Linked DNA regions of Drosophila melanogaster. The protein of the gene in region 2 interacts with the protein of the main gene of each other region in a pairwise test. Each region holds a gene or a part of one and is shown on either strand. Other genes may lie near its edges.

Evidence for each region.
Region 1: the proteins of how (region 2) and Hydr2 interact in a two-hybrid assay, tested with the Drosophila melanogaster proteins (one large-scale study listed by BioGRID).

What each region holds. Positions count from the first base shown.
Region 1 is NT_033779.5:3,160,470-3,170,536, forward strand, and holds Hydr2 (alpha/beta hydrolase2), read left to right. Parts: upstream 1-3,175; 5' UTR 3,176-3,450; coding exon 3,451-3,605; intron 3,606-6,058; exon of another isoform or gene 6,059-6,182; intron 6,183-6,500; coding exon 6,501-6,670; intron 6,671-6,734; coding exon 6,735-7,089; intron 7,090-7,154; coding exon 7,155-7,504; intron 7,505-7,565; coding exon 7,566-7,732; 3' UTR 7,733-8,993; downstream 8,994-10,067. Other genes in the region: gkt (glaikit), read left to right, coding at 1-280, 341-730, 786-1,383, 1,444-1,575; CG44002 (uncharacterized protein), read right to left, coding at 9,445-10,067.
Region 2 is NT_033777.3:22,039,176-22,046,547, forward strand, and holds the start of how (held out wings), read left to right. Parts: upstream 1-3,015; 5' UTR 3,016-3,180; intron 3,181-3,731; 5' UTR 3,732-3,888; coding exon 3,889-4,204; intron 4,205-7,372. UniProt on the Drosophila melanogaster protein: RNA-binding protein involved in muscle development and dosage compensation. Vital role in steroid regulation of muscle development and to control heart rate.

The DNA of each region.
Region 1 (10,067 bases), on a different chromosome or scaffold from region 2:
ATCTGGCCAAAAAACAGAAGCTAAATGCCAAGAACATCAGAGATTATATTCCTGTGGTAATCGAAAAGGGAGGAATGGCCAAAAAGCTGGAGCGGGCAGCTCCCTATAACATGTTCCTCACCGCGATCACGGACTCCAAGCCCACCCACTCGGAGCCATTGAGCATAACGCTGCAGGAAATCCTGGACGAAAGTCTCGGCGAGATTGAGAGCACCGTCCAAATTAACTTTATGGTGGACATTGGCTGGCTCCTGGGACACTACTACTTTGCCGGGATACTGTAAGTAATAACTAATTAACTAAACTCCTTATTCGTGCAATGCAATTGCTTAACTTGCAGGGACAAGCCACTTTTGCTGCTCTACGGCGACGAATCGCCGGAGCTGCTTAGCATTGGGAAGTTCAAGCAGCAGGTCACGGCCATTCGTGTCAAGATGCCCACGCCGTTTGCCACCTCGCACACCAAGATGATGTTCCTCGGCTACAGCGATGGCTCCATGCGGGTGGTCATATCCACGGCGAATCTGTACGAGGACGACTGGCACAATCGCACGCAGGGCCTGTGGATCAGTCCCAAGCTGCCTGCTCTGCCGGTCGATGCGGATACGGGCGCTGGCGAAAGTCTGACGGGCTTCAAACAGGATCTGATGCTGTACTTGGTGGAGTACAAGATAAGCCAGCTGCAGCCTTGGATAGCAAGGATTCGGAACAGTGATTTCAGTGCCATCAAGTAGGACACAACCTAAGTATTGTAGATTTAATCTATCAATTGTTTCCCTCCGCAGCGTTTTCTTCTTGGGCTCTGTGCCCGGAGGTCATCGCGAGGGCAGCGTGCGTGGTCATCCATGGGGCCACGCCCGCTTGGCCTCCTTGCTCGCCAAACACGCGGCGCCCATCGACGATCGCATACCGGTCGTCTGCCAGAGCTCGAGCATCGGCAGCCTGGGAGCCAACGTGCAGGCCTGGATTCAGCAGGATTTCGTCAATAGCCTGAAGAAGGATTCCACGCCTGTGGGCAAGCTGCGCCAGATGCCGCCCTTCAAGATGATCTATCCCAGCTACGGCAACGTCGCGGGCAGTCATGATGGAATGCTGGGCGGCGGGTGTTTGCCCTACGGCAAGAACACCAACGATAAGCAGCCATGGCTCAAGGACTATCTGCAGCAATGGAAGTCCAGCGATCGCTTTCGCTCGCGGGCAATGCCGCACATCAAGAGCTATACGCGCTTCAATCTGGAGGATCAGTCGGTGTACTGGTTCGTTTTAACCTCGGCGAATCTCTCGAAGGCAGCCTGGGGCTGCTTTAACAAAAACTCGAATATCCAACCCTGCCTGAGGATCGCCAACTATGAGGCTGGCGTCCTATTCCTGCCCAGATTTGTGGTAGGTCTTGTGAGATTTTTGAATCAAAGTCCATTGCAACTGGTGCTCTTTGCTTTCCAGACTGGCGAGGACACCTTTCCTTTGGGTAACAATCGTGATGGAGTGCCAGCGTTTCCGCTACCATACGACGTTCCATTGACGCCCTATGCTCCAGATGATAAGCCCTTCCTGATGGATTACCTACAAGGTTGAGATTAAGATACGTCTTATAAGGCCTCACAAATGGCTTTTGAATTCGTTGAAATATCTGGTCTATGGCAACTATTCACGTTTGAATCAGTTACTTTTATTTATTTACTGCACATTAAATTAAGGAAATTTAATTTGCGATCCTATTTTTGGATTCAGGCATCTTTTTTTTTCGGTAAATGTCCAATTCTGCCCATACTTCTTGGATCGGAGTGCTAATTCTGTTTGCACCGCAGGTAAAACCATCAAGTTCACTCAGTTTTCAGTACCATAATTTATTGTCCTTACTTATATTACTAAAACTAAATCAAAAGATTTAATGTTATATATTCATTGCATTAAAATTGTAATAACAACCAATACTTTGTTTTGGACAGCATTTTAAATGCGTACATTTTGGCGGCAAAGCATAAAATACTATAAGTGTGCAACCGATAGTTGCGCAGCTCCGCCCACGCAGTTGGTATTTTCGCATGGCCTCGCCCGCGGTCACACCACATCTGGCAGATTTCGTCAATAGCCTGAAGAAGGATTCCACGCCTGTGGGCAAGCTGCGCCAGATGCCGCCCTTCAAGATGATCTATCCCAGCTACGGCAACGTCGCGGGCAGTCATGATGGAATGCTGGGCGGCGGGTGTTTGCCCTACGGCAAGAACACCAACGATAAGCAGCCATGGCTCAAGGACTATCTGCAGCAATGGAAGTCCAGCGATCGCTTTCGCTCGCGGGCAATGCCGCACATCAAGAGCTATACGCGCTTCAATCTGGAGGATCAGTCGGTGTACTGGTTCGTTTTAACCTCGGCGAATCTCTCGAAGGCAGCCTGGGGCTGCTTTAACAAAAACTCGAATATCCAACCCTGCCTGAGGATCGCCAACTATGAGGCTGGCGTCCTATTCCTGCCCAGATTTGTGGTAGGTCTTGTGAGATTTTTGAATCAAAGTCCATTGCAACTGGTGCTCTTTGCTTTCCAGACTGGCGAGGACACCTTTCCTTTGGGTAACAATCGTGATGGAGTGCCAGCGTTTCCGCTACCATACGACGTTCCATTGACGCCCTATGCTCCAGATGATAAGCCCTTCCTGATGGATTACCTACAAGGTTGAGATTAAGATACGTCTTATAAGGCCTCACAAATGGCTTTTGAATTCGTTGAAATATCTGGTCTATGGCAACTATTCACGTTTGAATCAGTTACTTTTATTTATTTACTGCACATTAAATTAAGGAAATTTAATTTGCGATCCTATTTTTGGATTCAGGCATCTTTTTTTTTCGGTAAATGTCCAATTCTGCCCATACTTCTTGGATCGGAGTGCTAATTCTGTTTGCACCGCAGGTAAAACCATCAAGTTCACTCAGTTTTCAGTACCATAATTTATTGTCCTTACTTATATTACTAAAACTAAATCAAAAGATTTAATGTTATATATTCATTGCATTAAAATTGTAATAACAACCAATACTTTGTTTTGGACAGCATTTTAAATGCGTACATTTTGGCGGCAAAGCATAAAATACTATAAGTGTGCAACCGATAGTTGCGCAGCTCCGCCCACGCAGTTGGTATTTTCGCATGGCCTCGCCCGCGGTCACACCACATCTGGCAGTTGAAAAAAATCGCAGCAGGCGAATTTTCGGAAATTTCGAGCAGCATTTAAATCCGGTTCTCGTGGAAAGTGTTAACTTATTTACGCCAGCCAAAAAACGTAGCAAACGCACATAGAAAGGACGAAAGCAACGCAGATTGCCCTGGGAAACACGAAGAGAAGCCGCAAGGAGGCGCGCCAAATAGCAGGATAAGTGGAGTTCGATTGGATGACAAGGCGGGTCACTTCCTCGGATCCTGGCTAAAAACTCGCAGCACCCAGCGCCACCATGTCCACCGCCTTCCTTACCCTCATCGCCGTCATCGTGTGCATCCTGTTCCGCATCCTTAATGTTCACAGCCAGCCGCTGAAGCCCAGTGTGTGGTGCCTTGATGCCCACTTCCTCGACTGCCTCTACAAGATCGCGCCCGTCCTAAGGGAACCGTAAGTAATCCGGGAACAAGTGTCATTAAATCATGTGCTAATCATCATTTGCTCTTTTTTTTCCTCATTTTCATAACACATTCAGGGTCACAGGTGTGGCCAAAATTATAGCAACCTTCAGTTCTTGTAGGGTTATATTGTTTCGAAATCGATATAAGAGTACAAAACTGAACTATGGATTCCTGTTTTAATGGAATAAACTTAATATACTCACGTTTCAAGGAGCTTAATAAAGTTTGTAGAAGATTGTATTGCCATCGCAGCTGAGTTGCTAACAATGTCATCAGCATCACAGTCGCGCCAAAATATTAGTTACCTCAGGTTTCATAATTGTGCCAGTCGGTTTCGCTGATAAGCAAATCAGCAATCACCTCAAATTACTTTAAACCGCCAATTAAGTAGCATGTTCAAACTGAAAGCCATTGTTTCACGCAGTCCGTCGAATTTCCCAGCTGGCGAATGAATCATGAATGGCAAATTAGTCAATAAAACTGATGTCGCTGTCTAAGCAATTCAGTAACTCATCAGTAACTATCTATGTATGTCTACGAAATGCAGCTACAAACCCATTGATTAAATGCAATTCCAACACTTTGATGCGCACTATCAGTCAATAAATAGGTTGGTGTGTTCAATATATGCACCCCTCTATAAAATAGAGAGCACTCCTTCCTGTCTGAGGTTTCGTTATCGGTGATATAGTAAGTCTTACTCATTATACATGTACATCTGCGGTCACGGGCTAAAAATATTTCAATAGGTTATCTTGGGTGTAGAAATTGTTTTAAATTGGGAATTGTATTTGCCAGTTTAGCGGAGGTTATCAGCAGCGAACCGATAGAGAAATCAAGTTTAATGGCACAAATATTCATTAACTTTTATCACTTCCTTGATAAACATTTCTTCTCGCTGCCTGGAAAATTTTCATTCGATTTTCATTATTTTGTGTAAATCTGTGAATGCCCGCTGGGTTTCTCCTTCGTTGACCAGGAGCCGCATAAATAAATAGAATTTTTCTTTCGTTTTTAATTTACTTTTTTTTTTTGAAACACGTCTGCCAGCAGTCGCGATAAGGATTAATAACAATATAGCTCAAAGTTCGCCCCGCAATTACGCAGTTGAGACAGCGACTAACGCCTAGCAACCCGATTTTGGCCACAAATTTCCCCTGCCACTCGATAATCGCGTGGGGGTTTCCTCATACATATATTGTATGGAAATGTAGGTTGATAATGAAAAGATTGCCGGCGAATTGTTGGCGCAGTTTATTTCTTTTTGGCACTTTGGCTGATTCAAATGCCGGCACACTACCTGTGAATGTTTTGGCTTTCTGCCCAGTCAATCTGCCGCTTTTGTTTGACAACAAAGATTGCGTAAGCAGAGTTCTCTCGACTGCTGCGCTGCTGCTTTCTACCCCCGCTCACCTGTGTTTTCTCACCTGACAAACCGGTTGAAAGGTGAGATATACTCGGCTAAAAAGCCGGAGGGCCTGTTAATTTCCGTCATCTTCCTGTGCATTTGTTCTACCCACGAAAAGACCAGAAATGCTATTGAAATTTTAACAATAGAGCTCGTTTTCTAGTGTAGTTAATTTTTTCGGATTTTATTTTCAATAGGCGGTGCATTTATATAGTTGTAAACTCTTACTTGAAGTTACTTTTCCTCATTTTATAAAAAAGGGCATTTAAGCTAAGTAAATAGTTACGTAGAAAATTTGCAAAATGGGCTCATAAACAGTGGGATTATAGTGGGCTATTATTCATTCTTATATCAGAACACAAACATAGTAAGTTTATGTTGGGCAAAGATCAAGTGTCAAAAGGTTCCACAGGCTTCTAATTTCCGTGAAGACGATTGTTTTAGAGGTGCGCCGTTGATAGAAACCCAGGGTGATGACTCATTAGCACCGTGTGCTGCTCGTTTTTAGCTGACAACTTGAAGGTGGGAAAGAATTGCAGCTGTTTTTGCCTTTAGGCTTGCGAACTCTAAACGACACATTAACTTTTAATGATATATTTCTACATATATATATGCATGCGAGGGCACATTATTCACTAAGTGTCATTCATATTGATTACTGTTGGGAAATTCATGCTTGAAACTGATTAAAAATTGAAAAGCCAGATACGCCGGCATTTGTGCCTGTTCCCAAAGTGGCCACGCCCCTGCCCACAAACCATTTCACCATTTTACTTTGATTGATACTAATTGAATGGCTACTGTTGCTGAGCTCACAAGTGGATACACAAAATTGTATCACGTTTTTGCACGGCTGACATGATTTCTGATACACGCAGGAAAAAAATGCATTGTAAAATGCTTAAATCAACTCAATCAAATAGGGCTTGATTTGGAAACAGAAGGCTTTGCAGAAAAGGAAGAATATACCCCCATTTACCCTGTTGATTCTAAATTCTAAAAATATACCTTTCAATTGAAAATACCTTTGGCAGAGAACATCCGACTTTCTCCATCCAATTCTGGTGTAGCTGCGTGCACTCAATTAGGTTCAATTGGTTCTAATGCTGTTTGCTGAATTGCGGCTTTGTGCATTTGGTGGCATTCTCTTTCGAATTTGTAAGTCATCGCATTAAAAAACTTGGACGTAGATCAAAATTCAATTTGTATAAATAATACGAGTATTTGCGCAAATTTGGCAAATTGCCTGCTAACTAAACTGGAAGCAATTGTGCGCAGATTTATCATTGCCATAATTCACAGTGCAATGTCAAGGGCAAACAAGATCGGAATAAAATGAAATATATTCATATAGCTTGCCAACGGAAAAGAAGTAGCTTAATCAACATTTATAATAGGTTTACGACCCATGCAATAATTGCTGATTAAAGAATCTAAAGTACGTTATAATAATCCCATTCTTTTCACTCTTTCCAGATACATTCCCCCGCGACTTTGGGGCTTTAGTGGCCATGTGCAGACGGTCTTGCACAGCATTGTTGGCCGGGTACGATGTCCCTGGCCACTCGGAGAACGTGTTTACATGTCGCTAAAGGATGGCTCCACATTGACCTACGACTTGTACCAGCCACTCAACGAACAGGAGGGTAAGAGTTAGGCAGCCTAATCCCGATGCATTGCCTGTACTAAATGTATTCAACACTCCCACAGATGACATCACGGTGGCCATTTGCCCGGGCATCGCCAACAGCTCGGAATCGGTGTACATTCGCACCTTCGTGCACTTGGCCCAGTGCAATGGATACCGCTGTGCGGTGCTAAATCACATTGGCGCACTGCGCAGTGTCCAGGTGACCTCCACACGCATTTTCACCTACGGCCACACGGAGGATTTCGCGGCCATGGTAGAGCATTTGCACCAGAAGTACCGCCAAAGTCGAATTGTCGCGGTTGGTTTCAGTCTGGGCGGCAATCTGGTCACCAAGTACATGGGCGAGGACCAGAAGACAAAGCCAGACAAGGTCATTGGAGGCATATCCATATGTCAAGGCTACAATGCCGTCGAGTGAGTTGCTATTCAAACTATTAATATAGGAAATCAGAGCTAAATACTTAATAATTATATTGCAGAGGCACCAAGTGGCTGCTCAACTGGCAGAATTTCCGCCGCTTTTACCTATACATCATGACTGAGAACGTAAAGAGCATTATCCTGCGACATCGACATATCCTCCTGTCCGACGAGGTCAAGGCTCGGCATAATCTCAACGAGCGCGAAATCATCGCGGCTGCCACTCTGCCCGAGTTGGATGAGGCTTACACGCGGAGAGTGTACAACTTTCCCTCCACCCAGGAGTTGTACAAGTGGAGCTCGTCGCTGTTTTACTTCGATACGATCAAGAAGCCAATGATCTTCATCAACGCCAAGGATGATCCCTTGATCCCGGAGGATTTGCTGCATCCCATCAAGGAGTATGCCAGTAAGTAGAAAGTTCTTTGCTTGCTATCACGTTGCTTATTGCTTAATCTTTCTCCCCTCAGCGACGCGTCAAAACACCGCCTATGTGGAGGTGGCCCATGGCGGTCATCTGGGCTTCTATGAGGGCGGCTTCCTGTACCCGAACCCTGTCACTTGGCTGGACCGTACGCTTGTGGCGATGGTTGGGTCCTTGGTCATGATGCACGAAGTCGGCAAGGTGGCCCCTTAGGCCTGGTTGCTATTTTCACACGCATACACGACTATTTAACGCTTCTGTGTCAAAATTGGTTGTCGCTGTCGAATATAAATCTTTGAAGAACCATCGGAACGGAAGAGAGCCCGAAAGACCCCATACATATAGTTCTAACATATGATATCGTTGTGCAGCAATTATAAATTATCAGCCGCGCAAGCATAAATTGATGTATACTTTTGCAAAGTGCATTTAAAACAGAAATTGTAGTTTTTTGAGAACGATTTTTATGCTTTTTAATGACTTTTTGAAGAGCCAAACATACAATGTATCAGTTGAACTCGTACCTTAGTTAGTTAACGCGACCACATGTATCCATGTACTTATGTCTAAGCAAATTCCTATTTATTAGCATTTTCCTTTGTGATCTAACAGTTTTTAATTACGTACATTTTTATATGTGAAATGTACACCACACGCCGCACACAATATACGATGTATGACAGTAATTATAAATTATAAGTCCTCGACCGCACCACAAGCATATAAAATAGCAAGAATATTGCCTTAGTGTAGACCTCGTTTTGTATGTGTGAATATGATTTGAACTATTCATTTTGTACTATGATGCATTTCACGGAAATCAAAGAGAAACCAAATGAAAGTTTGCCCAACGTCGGCTTCATTTTTGTATACTTTTTCTGAACTTTACCAAGTTGATAGTCAGATTTGTTTACCAATGTAGTGGAGTGGAGAATATTTATAAATGTATTTGTAAATGTATTTATAAATGTATATTGAAACAAATAAATAACAGTTGGACAAAAATATTCCCTTTATTTCACTTTTGATTTTTCCATATTTCAAATTTCGCTGTTAAATCGGTTACAGTTTCTCTACACCTAAGCTAACACTGGATTTGACATCACTAGTTGCAAGAAATGTACACCACACGCCGCACACAATATACGATGTATGACAGTAATTATAAATTATAAGTCCTCGACCGCACCACAAGCATATAAAATAGCAAGAATATTGCCTTAGTGTAGACCTCGTTTTGTATGTGTGAATATGATTTGAACTATTCATTTTGTACTATGATGCATTTCACGGAAATCAAAGAGAAACCAAATGAAAGTTTGCCCAACGTCGGCTTCATTTTTGTATACTTTTTCTGAACTTTACCAAGTTGATAGTCAGATTTGTTTACCAATGTAGTGGAGTGGAGAATATTTATAAATGTATTTGTAAATGTATTTATAAATGTATAATGAAACAAATAAATAACAGTTGGACAAAAATATTCCCTTTATTTCACTTTTGATTTTTCCATATTTCAAATTTCGCTGTTAAATCGGTTACAGTTTCTCTACACCTAAGCTAACACTGGATTTGACATCACTAGTTGCAAGAGCAGTCGTGGCCGAGCGGTTAAGGCGTCTGACTAGAAATCAGATTCCCTCTGGGAGCGTAGGTTCGAATCCTACCGACTGCGATGACAAGAGTTACTTTTTTGTTTTTAACTTTTTGCCCAAAAGAACAATTTTAAGGTTATTAATTTGATCCTTTTTCATAATGTTTCAAAGAATGTTGTGCTAGATTTGTGTGTTTGCTTTCATATAAATATTCTATTGGAATATTAAGATTTTTTAAATATATCCCAGATGGTATTCATTTTTATTGAGCGTTTTATACTTATACCTAAAAAAAATAATTAATTTTTAAATGTTTAAACTAAATGAAGCTTAAGATATAGCCGCGTTCTCGACCTTGTCCGTATGGCAAAGCTTTACATGCCTACGCAGACCTTTTGGTTGGCGGAAACGCCGCTCGCATTGGGAACACTTGAATCGCTTTTCTGCGGTGTGGCTCATCATGTGCTTCCGAGCATCTGACCGCTCCCGGAAGAACTTATCGCACATATCGCACTTGTACGGTCTTTCTCCTGTGTGAATTCGAATGTGCTGCCTTAGAGCAGATCCATCCGAGAAGGCCGACTGGCAGGTAAGGCACTTGAATGGTCTTTCTCCCGTGTGAGTCCTTAGATGTCTTTTGACGGAAGCAAGATCCGCAAATGGCTTTTGGCAAATTTCGCAGGCGAAGGGTTTTTCCCCCGTGTGGGTCTTTTGGTGGCGGACACAGCTTGCTTTGCTGCAGAAGGTCTTGTTACAAAGGCGGCAGGTGTGCGTAGAATTCCTTGAAAGCTGTCTGGCTTTCGTCCTCAACTCTTCTTTGACCGCGTGCTCGCTGGTGGAGGACATTGGACGGGGTCCGTCCGTTGTGTGGTGTCGCAGGATGTGTAGCTCTAGGAGACCAGGTCTCCGAAAGGACATGTGACACTGTGTGCAGATGTGACCCTTATCCTCGG
Region 2 (7,372 bases):
CAAACTATGAACTTTGAAATATTTTCAAGTTATCGAATTTCTGTAAGTGCGCAAATTGAATGTTGTTGGCGGCGTGGGCGTGACGAATGTTTGGAGACCACAACGCCGTACGCCCACACGCACACGCCCCCTCCCGTTATACCCACTTGCCACTAGCACTTGTTTCTAAAAGCCAAGTTAACGATGTTTCGGTGAATGAAAAAGCCAACGCGCTCGAGTTTACTCATTCATGAGCACTTTGCGGATCGTGGTTGAATTAGTTTTGGCCAGACTGCGTTTTGTTGGATCCAATCAGCTGGTCGGTCGGGCACAATATGCAAAGTGGAAACTTTATGAATGGATTCGGAAAACGGATGAAGGGGAACGCGGCACGGGTAAGGAGTTTCACCTGTGGGTCGCGGCGCGTGACACAGAAAATGCATTCGCACAGGTGACAAAAATGTGTTTGGAAAAAGCATTGGAAAATCTCATCTTATGAATACACATAAAATCCGTAGATACTATAACAAAATTGTATTCATTGTGAGCATGGTCAAAACCAAACCACTCTGGACACTTTTGTTGCCTGAGCGGGTTGCGTATGTGGTCGAGTGTATCTGACAGATACTTACTATCTGTGTGGGTGTTGCAGTTCGGTTTCTTTGTGGCACCCGAAAACTGACAAACTCAACTGTTGGTAAACCGGTGGCGCCCACACGGCCGCGTCTCATGCGTAATGGAAACAACTGGGAACTGGTTAATGGACGATTGCTGCCTGGCTTTTGGCCAACATATTGCTAATTACACACTCTCACACCACCGGTGGTTTGTTTCTGTGTCGGCGGTAAATTAAGAAAAAGAATGTTTAATTTGTCGTTTAGGCCGCCACAAAGCCGCTAAATGTCTTGGCCAAATTTGCATTCGACACAAACGTGCAGTGGCCAAAAAAGGATTCCCGGGACCAGCAATATAGTGTTAGCGCCGCCTGGCAGGTTGTCAATCTTTGGAACCACTTCTTTTTTAGCAGCCGAATTGGTCAAACAATCGAATTGCATTTGGGTAGCAATATCTCTCTGTTAATAGGCAATGAAAGATTTGTGGGATATTTCCGACTTTAGATTTAGGTTGTTGAACTAATGGTGCATAACCAAAATTTCTGAACTTTTCAGTTTACACAAAACTTGAACCAATTCAAGCATTTTCTCGCCTAACTTTACAGCTGCTGGAAAACTTTTATTTTGCGGCCATTTCGGTTTTCCAAAACCGAAAGTGCCGCCCAAAACGACCCACTCACAATGTAAAACACCACATTCAAAAGGGCAAATTCCAAAAGCACTAGAGAGATTAACGGCCCACGGAAAACTTGGCACTTCGGACTTGGCCAGATGTCCAATGGGCCGATACTGGGCGACGTGGGTGTGCGGATTGGAAAGGGCTTTGGTCTGTGGCCCAGAGATTTAAATCGGATATCCATCCATAGGCATACAATGTCTCAATCGCCACGCACATTGACACATTTTTCAATGGCACTAAAACTGTATAATGGGGCCGTACAACGCATTTAATGTCGGCCCACACACACAGGCCAATTCCGATCGGTTTGAGCCAAGTGCACACAAATTTGGTGGGACTTGTGGCCGGACTGTGAAACTTGGCCAGGTGAGGTCCGGTGGTGGGAGTCTGCTTTCCAATGGAACGACCAATCCGATGTCCATCCACAACTTTGGCCACAACTTTAAACTTTCACGTCTCATTTTGGTGTATGCTGGTTTCAAAAATCGGATCTTGCCCCATGCCTGCCGTTGGCTAGATGTGCCGCCCCAGAAATTTTGGGTTCCGATGGGGAAGACTGTTGCAATGAAGTGATCCTCATACATATATGTATATCAAAATATTGTTGAAGACACAGGCAACACACAATAAGTTCACCGATCCACTGGCATTAAGTGTTGTAATAGTGGAAGGACCTAAATGTGAACAGAACACGAGTAAAATTTTAGAATAAAAGTAGCTTTGTAGACTTAAAAGATTGTTTTATTTTGATACACTTTATCGATAATTAATTATTTTTAGTACGCAATATCTTAATACTGCGTTGAATTTTTGTGAAATTCGCCAACCACACGGAAGCCAGCGAAAAATGTCTTTCGCGATGGAAAGTAAAAGTTGTCGCCGGCCTAGGGTCGCTTATATGGTGCGTCCATCGAAACGCTCGCGAATGCCAATTTTCCCACATACATTTCGCGTTTTGCAGCAGAGTTAACCAAGTTAACACCAACATTTGGCCAGTACGAGTTCGGGGGCTCATTTGCATGGTGTTTTGGACTTGGGGCCCAGATGCCAGCCCCCGCATATGTCCGGCGAAACAAAATGCCGCTTGGTTCTAATCTGCCAGCAATTTCCGTGCGCAATTAATGCCTCCACAGCGCAGTGTCTTAATTAATTCAAAATCAACGCCAACGCGCCAAATTGTGGCCCACCCAGCTACCAGGTGGCAACGCTGAATGTTGTTAGTCAATTAATGCATTAACTAGCCTCCATTTGGAAGAATATTAATGGCCCACCTTTGTATTTAGTTGCTATTAACTTATTTGGCCATTTATTAACTTTTATACTCGCACTTTTGGCTAAAATATGTGTAATATGTTAACCAGCTGCGCAACTCTGTTTGTGCGGAGTGGCAACGCTGATGGGTGATCTCGCATGCTGGCAGTAGGGTGCGAGAGAGCCAAGTCAGAGAGAAACTGACGTCACAAGATGGGTATTGGCGTATTTTTTATGGAAATGGTTATGCAAATATTGACTAAACGTCACCGAGTAGTTAAAAGCACTGATATATTAGAAATTAGTTAATTTAGATCAAAAATACCCCCAAATATATAACCAAATATTGGCTTTTAAATATTTATTAAAAGCAATCGCACTTTGTGACGTCACTGGGCGAGAGAGCAGAGAAACGAGAGCACATTGAAACCACCACCCCACGATCGAACTGGCATGATCTCACACTTACAACGTTTTGTGCTCTTCGCTTCGCATTCAGTTTCTTTTTCTCTTTCTTTGCGCACGGTTCAGTGGTAGGAAAATTAGGAGGAATCGTTCAGTAAAGTCCCGAGATCCGTTCGCTATTCCCCGACTCGAATAAAATCCATATACACATATATCAAATAAACAAAGGATAGGAGTCCTCAGAGAAGAAAAGTGTGTTTAAAAAAAATACTTTCCAAACAAAACGAAATGAATAAAATCCAAAGCCATCCAGTAGCAACAACAAATACATAATCAGCAACTGTGCATATTTCTGCGAGTTTTCTTGCATTTTTAAATCGGTTAAGTGGCCTTGTGCACTCGGTACATCTCCAGGCAAAGGAATTTATACCTTTGTATCTTCAAAACGTAGAAATTTGAATATAAAATTTATTTAAATACTTTTTTGTTGTACTTGCTGTTGCAGCAGCCAAATGAGCGAGGGTGAGAGAGAGAGGCAGCTATTTTGACATTCTGCTTTCATTCATCTCCGTCGCATATACAGTTTTACTGTTTATTGTCCGTGTGTGAGTGAGCGATCGCCGAGGAATTTTCTGCCTTCGCTTTCGACTTGCTGCGCTCTCTCGCTCTCTCAGTATCTCTCGCCCTGCATTGTTGTTGCTGCCGATCGGAAAAAATACTTTTGGGCGGAGTTGTTTTCATTTCGTTTTCCGTTTTTAATATCGCTCGCGTACGAAACTTAATGAATTTCCCAACTCCCACAGTAACGTGTTAAAAGTAGCAAAAACAAATAAAAAAGAAGTGTGCACCAAGTAAAGAAAGCAGAGACCCAAGGAAAGTTGAAAGTTGAAAACCAGAATCTCGTCGAGAACAAAACAAAAAGTTCCCAAAAACCCACACATCACACACGCACGCAACAAAATGAGTGTCTGTGAGAGCAAAGCCGTTGTGCAACAGCAACTGCAGCAGCACTTGCAGCAACAGGCAGCCGCAGCAGTTGTTGCGGTCGCGCAACAGCAGCAGGCTCAAGCCCAAGCCCAGGCTCAGGCTCAGGCACAGCAGCAGCAACAGGCGCCGCAGGTGGTGGTCCCCATGACCCCGCAGCACTTGACCCCACAGCAGCAGCAGCAGAGCACACAGAGCATCGCCGACTATCTGGCCCAGTTGCTCAAGGACCGCAAGCAACTGGCCGCCTTCCCCAACGTCTTCACCCACGTCGAACGCCTGCTGGACGAAGGTAAGTCGCTAAAACTCAAACCGAGTGAGATCCCTCCAAGTCACAGCATCATCCTAATCCCGGATCCAAGACTCAGCGGAAGGATAACGATCACTAGCTAGCCTTTTCTGAATCAAACGATAAACCCAGTTACTGTTTGTTATTGTGATAATATCCTTTTATTCATCAAACACTTTACAGTACCATTAGGAAATTGTTATATATAATAAATGTGATGAAATGTGGTGAAAGAAGAAATTTGGATATTCTTGTTATAATGTTCAGATATTTAACTCTAGAATGTATTAGAACTTTGTGTTTGTATTCCAAAAATTCATGAAAAGAACATTAAACTATTGTAGTATACAAATCGATGCCATTACAGTTTGGTTTATATCTTTTTTAATTGTTCAAAAAATATTTGCAAAGCACTTTAATTCCGAGAATCTGGCGGGATTTATTGTAAACATGTATTACAGAGACTGTAGGTATTTAGAACACATTTGGGTAAATGGGAGAGTTTAAATGAGTATATATGTTATTTTAAAGTGGTGACTTCATTTTCAATCGTGTGTGCCAGGCGTGTTAATGATTAGGGTGCCTCTAACCAAGTGATCACTGTAGTTCAATCAGTTTTGGGGCATGGATCTCTGGGTGTCTGGTTTGTCTCCTCGGCGTCTCCTTTTCGGCATCTTCTCCATCGCGGGTTCTGAGTTCATTCCACCTTACAAACCGAAACGAGATGTTTGTTATTTTTAGTTACTTCCTTTTTGTGCGCCTCTTCGCGGAGCGCACACTACTTACACCTCTCTCCGGGCTCTCTCCTTTTGTATTCTTGGCTCCACACTTGACTGCCAGTGCAGCCTTTGTTGTTCTCATTATGAATTCTTTGTTGACTCGGCCATTCGTAAACCAAAAAGGAGGGAGGCTTGGATTTTGAGAGACGCAGAAGGAGATGCGAAACCCCAGGGGGGGAACCCCCAACAAAGATAGAAACATTAATGTGGTGTGGTATTATGTGATAAGAGATCATTTTATTCACAAGCATGTATGAATTTATACATATGCTAAAAGTTTTAAAATTTTCGAATCTGGAATATTATTGGATCCATTTAATGATCTGCTTTGCTCTGTGCACTGAACGTGTAGCAAACTTATCTGAAAGAGGAAAAATGTACCTCAACTGCCCACGCTTTGCCTCGAAAACCAAAAAAATCAAAAAAAAAGAAAATATGAATAAATATACGGCAACGAAGCAAAAACTCTTAAAGGCAAGCCAACAAAAGTCAACTTTCGGGGCGGGATAGGGGCGGTATAGGGGCAGGGGCGTGGCACTACCTGGTCGCATCTTGTATCTTGTATCTGGCATATCGGAGCTCTCGTTTCTGTATTTGCCCAACATCTGTTGCCCATATGCAGGCCGGCCAAGAGGGTGTGTGTCGCCTCGTAATGACAAAATTATGTTGCACAGATACACAGATTCAGATACTGGTGCGGTATTTGCGGATTGCAAGGTACCGCTAGATGGCCAGAGTACACTTATTATGTACAGCGTATGTTTGGATTACTTTAATATACGTTTTTTTTTACCATATTGCTTAATCAATTTGTTTATAATTGCTACTACAATTTAAATTACATTTAATTATTGCAATTAAACTTGAAATGTGATAGCAAATGGTCTGTATAATAAGATGCAAGATCTTGATTTCTCTCTTCATTTGGAAAATATCCAAGAAGTCGGTGGTCTTATCTAGACCAATCAGATTATTGATTACCAGGTACCAGGAGGTATCGCACTGTCGGAAAACTCGCCCAAAAGCTTATATTCTTGTTTTGGTTTCGTCTCGGCATAACTGCAAACTAGTTTGCCTGTCTACAAATTGTATTTGCTAAAAGCAAAGCGTTGACAATTTGTAAAACTCGTTCCACCAGACTACAAAATCCAAAGAGCTGAAAAAATACGCAAAACAAAATACAGATTTCAAACCCACCTCGTTGGCTTATCAGCTTAGTGGGAGGGTGTCGGACTGGATTTGGGATTTGAGATTTGGGACCTGGGAACCCGAGTGGCGTTCACTATTTACGAATACTGACCGTATTCGACTGCGCTAACTTGGACCGACCGCTAACGGCTTTCAACTTTTCAACTTGCTAGAAGTTTTTGTTTTTTTTTTTCTCTTTTTGCAACTTTCTCTTTTCAATTGCTGTCGTCGCTGGGCTGTGTTTTTGTTTTCGTTAGCTTGACATGCGGGCCAAATCCAAACCCCAACCCCACATTCACATGGGGTTATTTGGGCAACTCCAACATTTTTTATGTTTTGCCCTTTTCCCAGAGGGTGCCAAATTTATTATCCGTACTGCCACGACTGGAATTTTATATGTCATTTCGTTGATTCTTTTAACCTATTTCCCTTGGCTTTCATGAGTTTGCTTTTGATGAAATCCCAAATTCGAACGTATTACGAACTGCTTAAATCAATGTCATCTTTGATTTTAATACGTATGTACTTAACTTTATTTGATCCATGCGTGGAATTCGAAAACATTCGCCTATCAAATTGCCATTTTATTATAATTTTACTTTAATCATTCTGAGAACACATATACAATATGTTGACTTTTGATGTGTTTGTTACAAACTGAAAAAAATGTTAAGTAGCTTAAAATATTTCTGAAATTTACCTGCATACACTTTGTGTCTGTCAGAGATATTGCGAGAGATCTAATTAGGTTCCTGCCTTACCTCAAGCAACACTAACAAAAGCAATAGCCGCTTTTTGAGGTTGCGGTTGCTGTTTTTTTTTTTTTTTTTTTTTTGTTTTTATTTGTATATATTGTTTTTATTATTGCGAGTGTGCAGCTAAGTTTGCTTGGGGTTTTGGACGTGGCGTTCTGCTCGCAATCATCAGTTGGCTACCTGTTGGGCGCTCGCCCGTTCACTTGAAATGCACAGCCTGCGATTACATTTGAATGGCTGTCTGTGTGGAAATATCTGCGTATTTACTGTGCGTTTCACAGCTGTAAAGCACTGCAGTTGGAGTACAGCGAGCTAAAATATTTAAAAACTAAAAAAGTTTTCTTTTTCTAAATTTATTATACTGGTTGTAAATTACCTAAAAGTTCGAAATACTTAAACATATTCCGCTTGAATGATTATGTTTGGCTCTCAAAATAGTTTTAATTAAT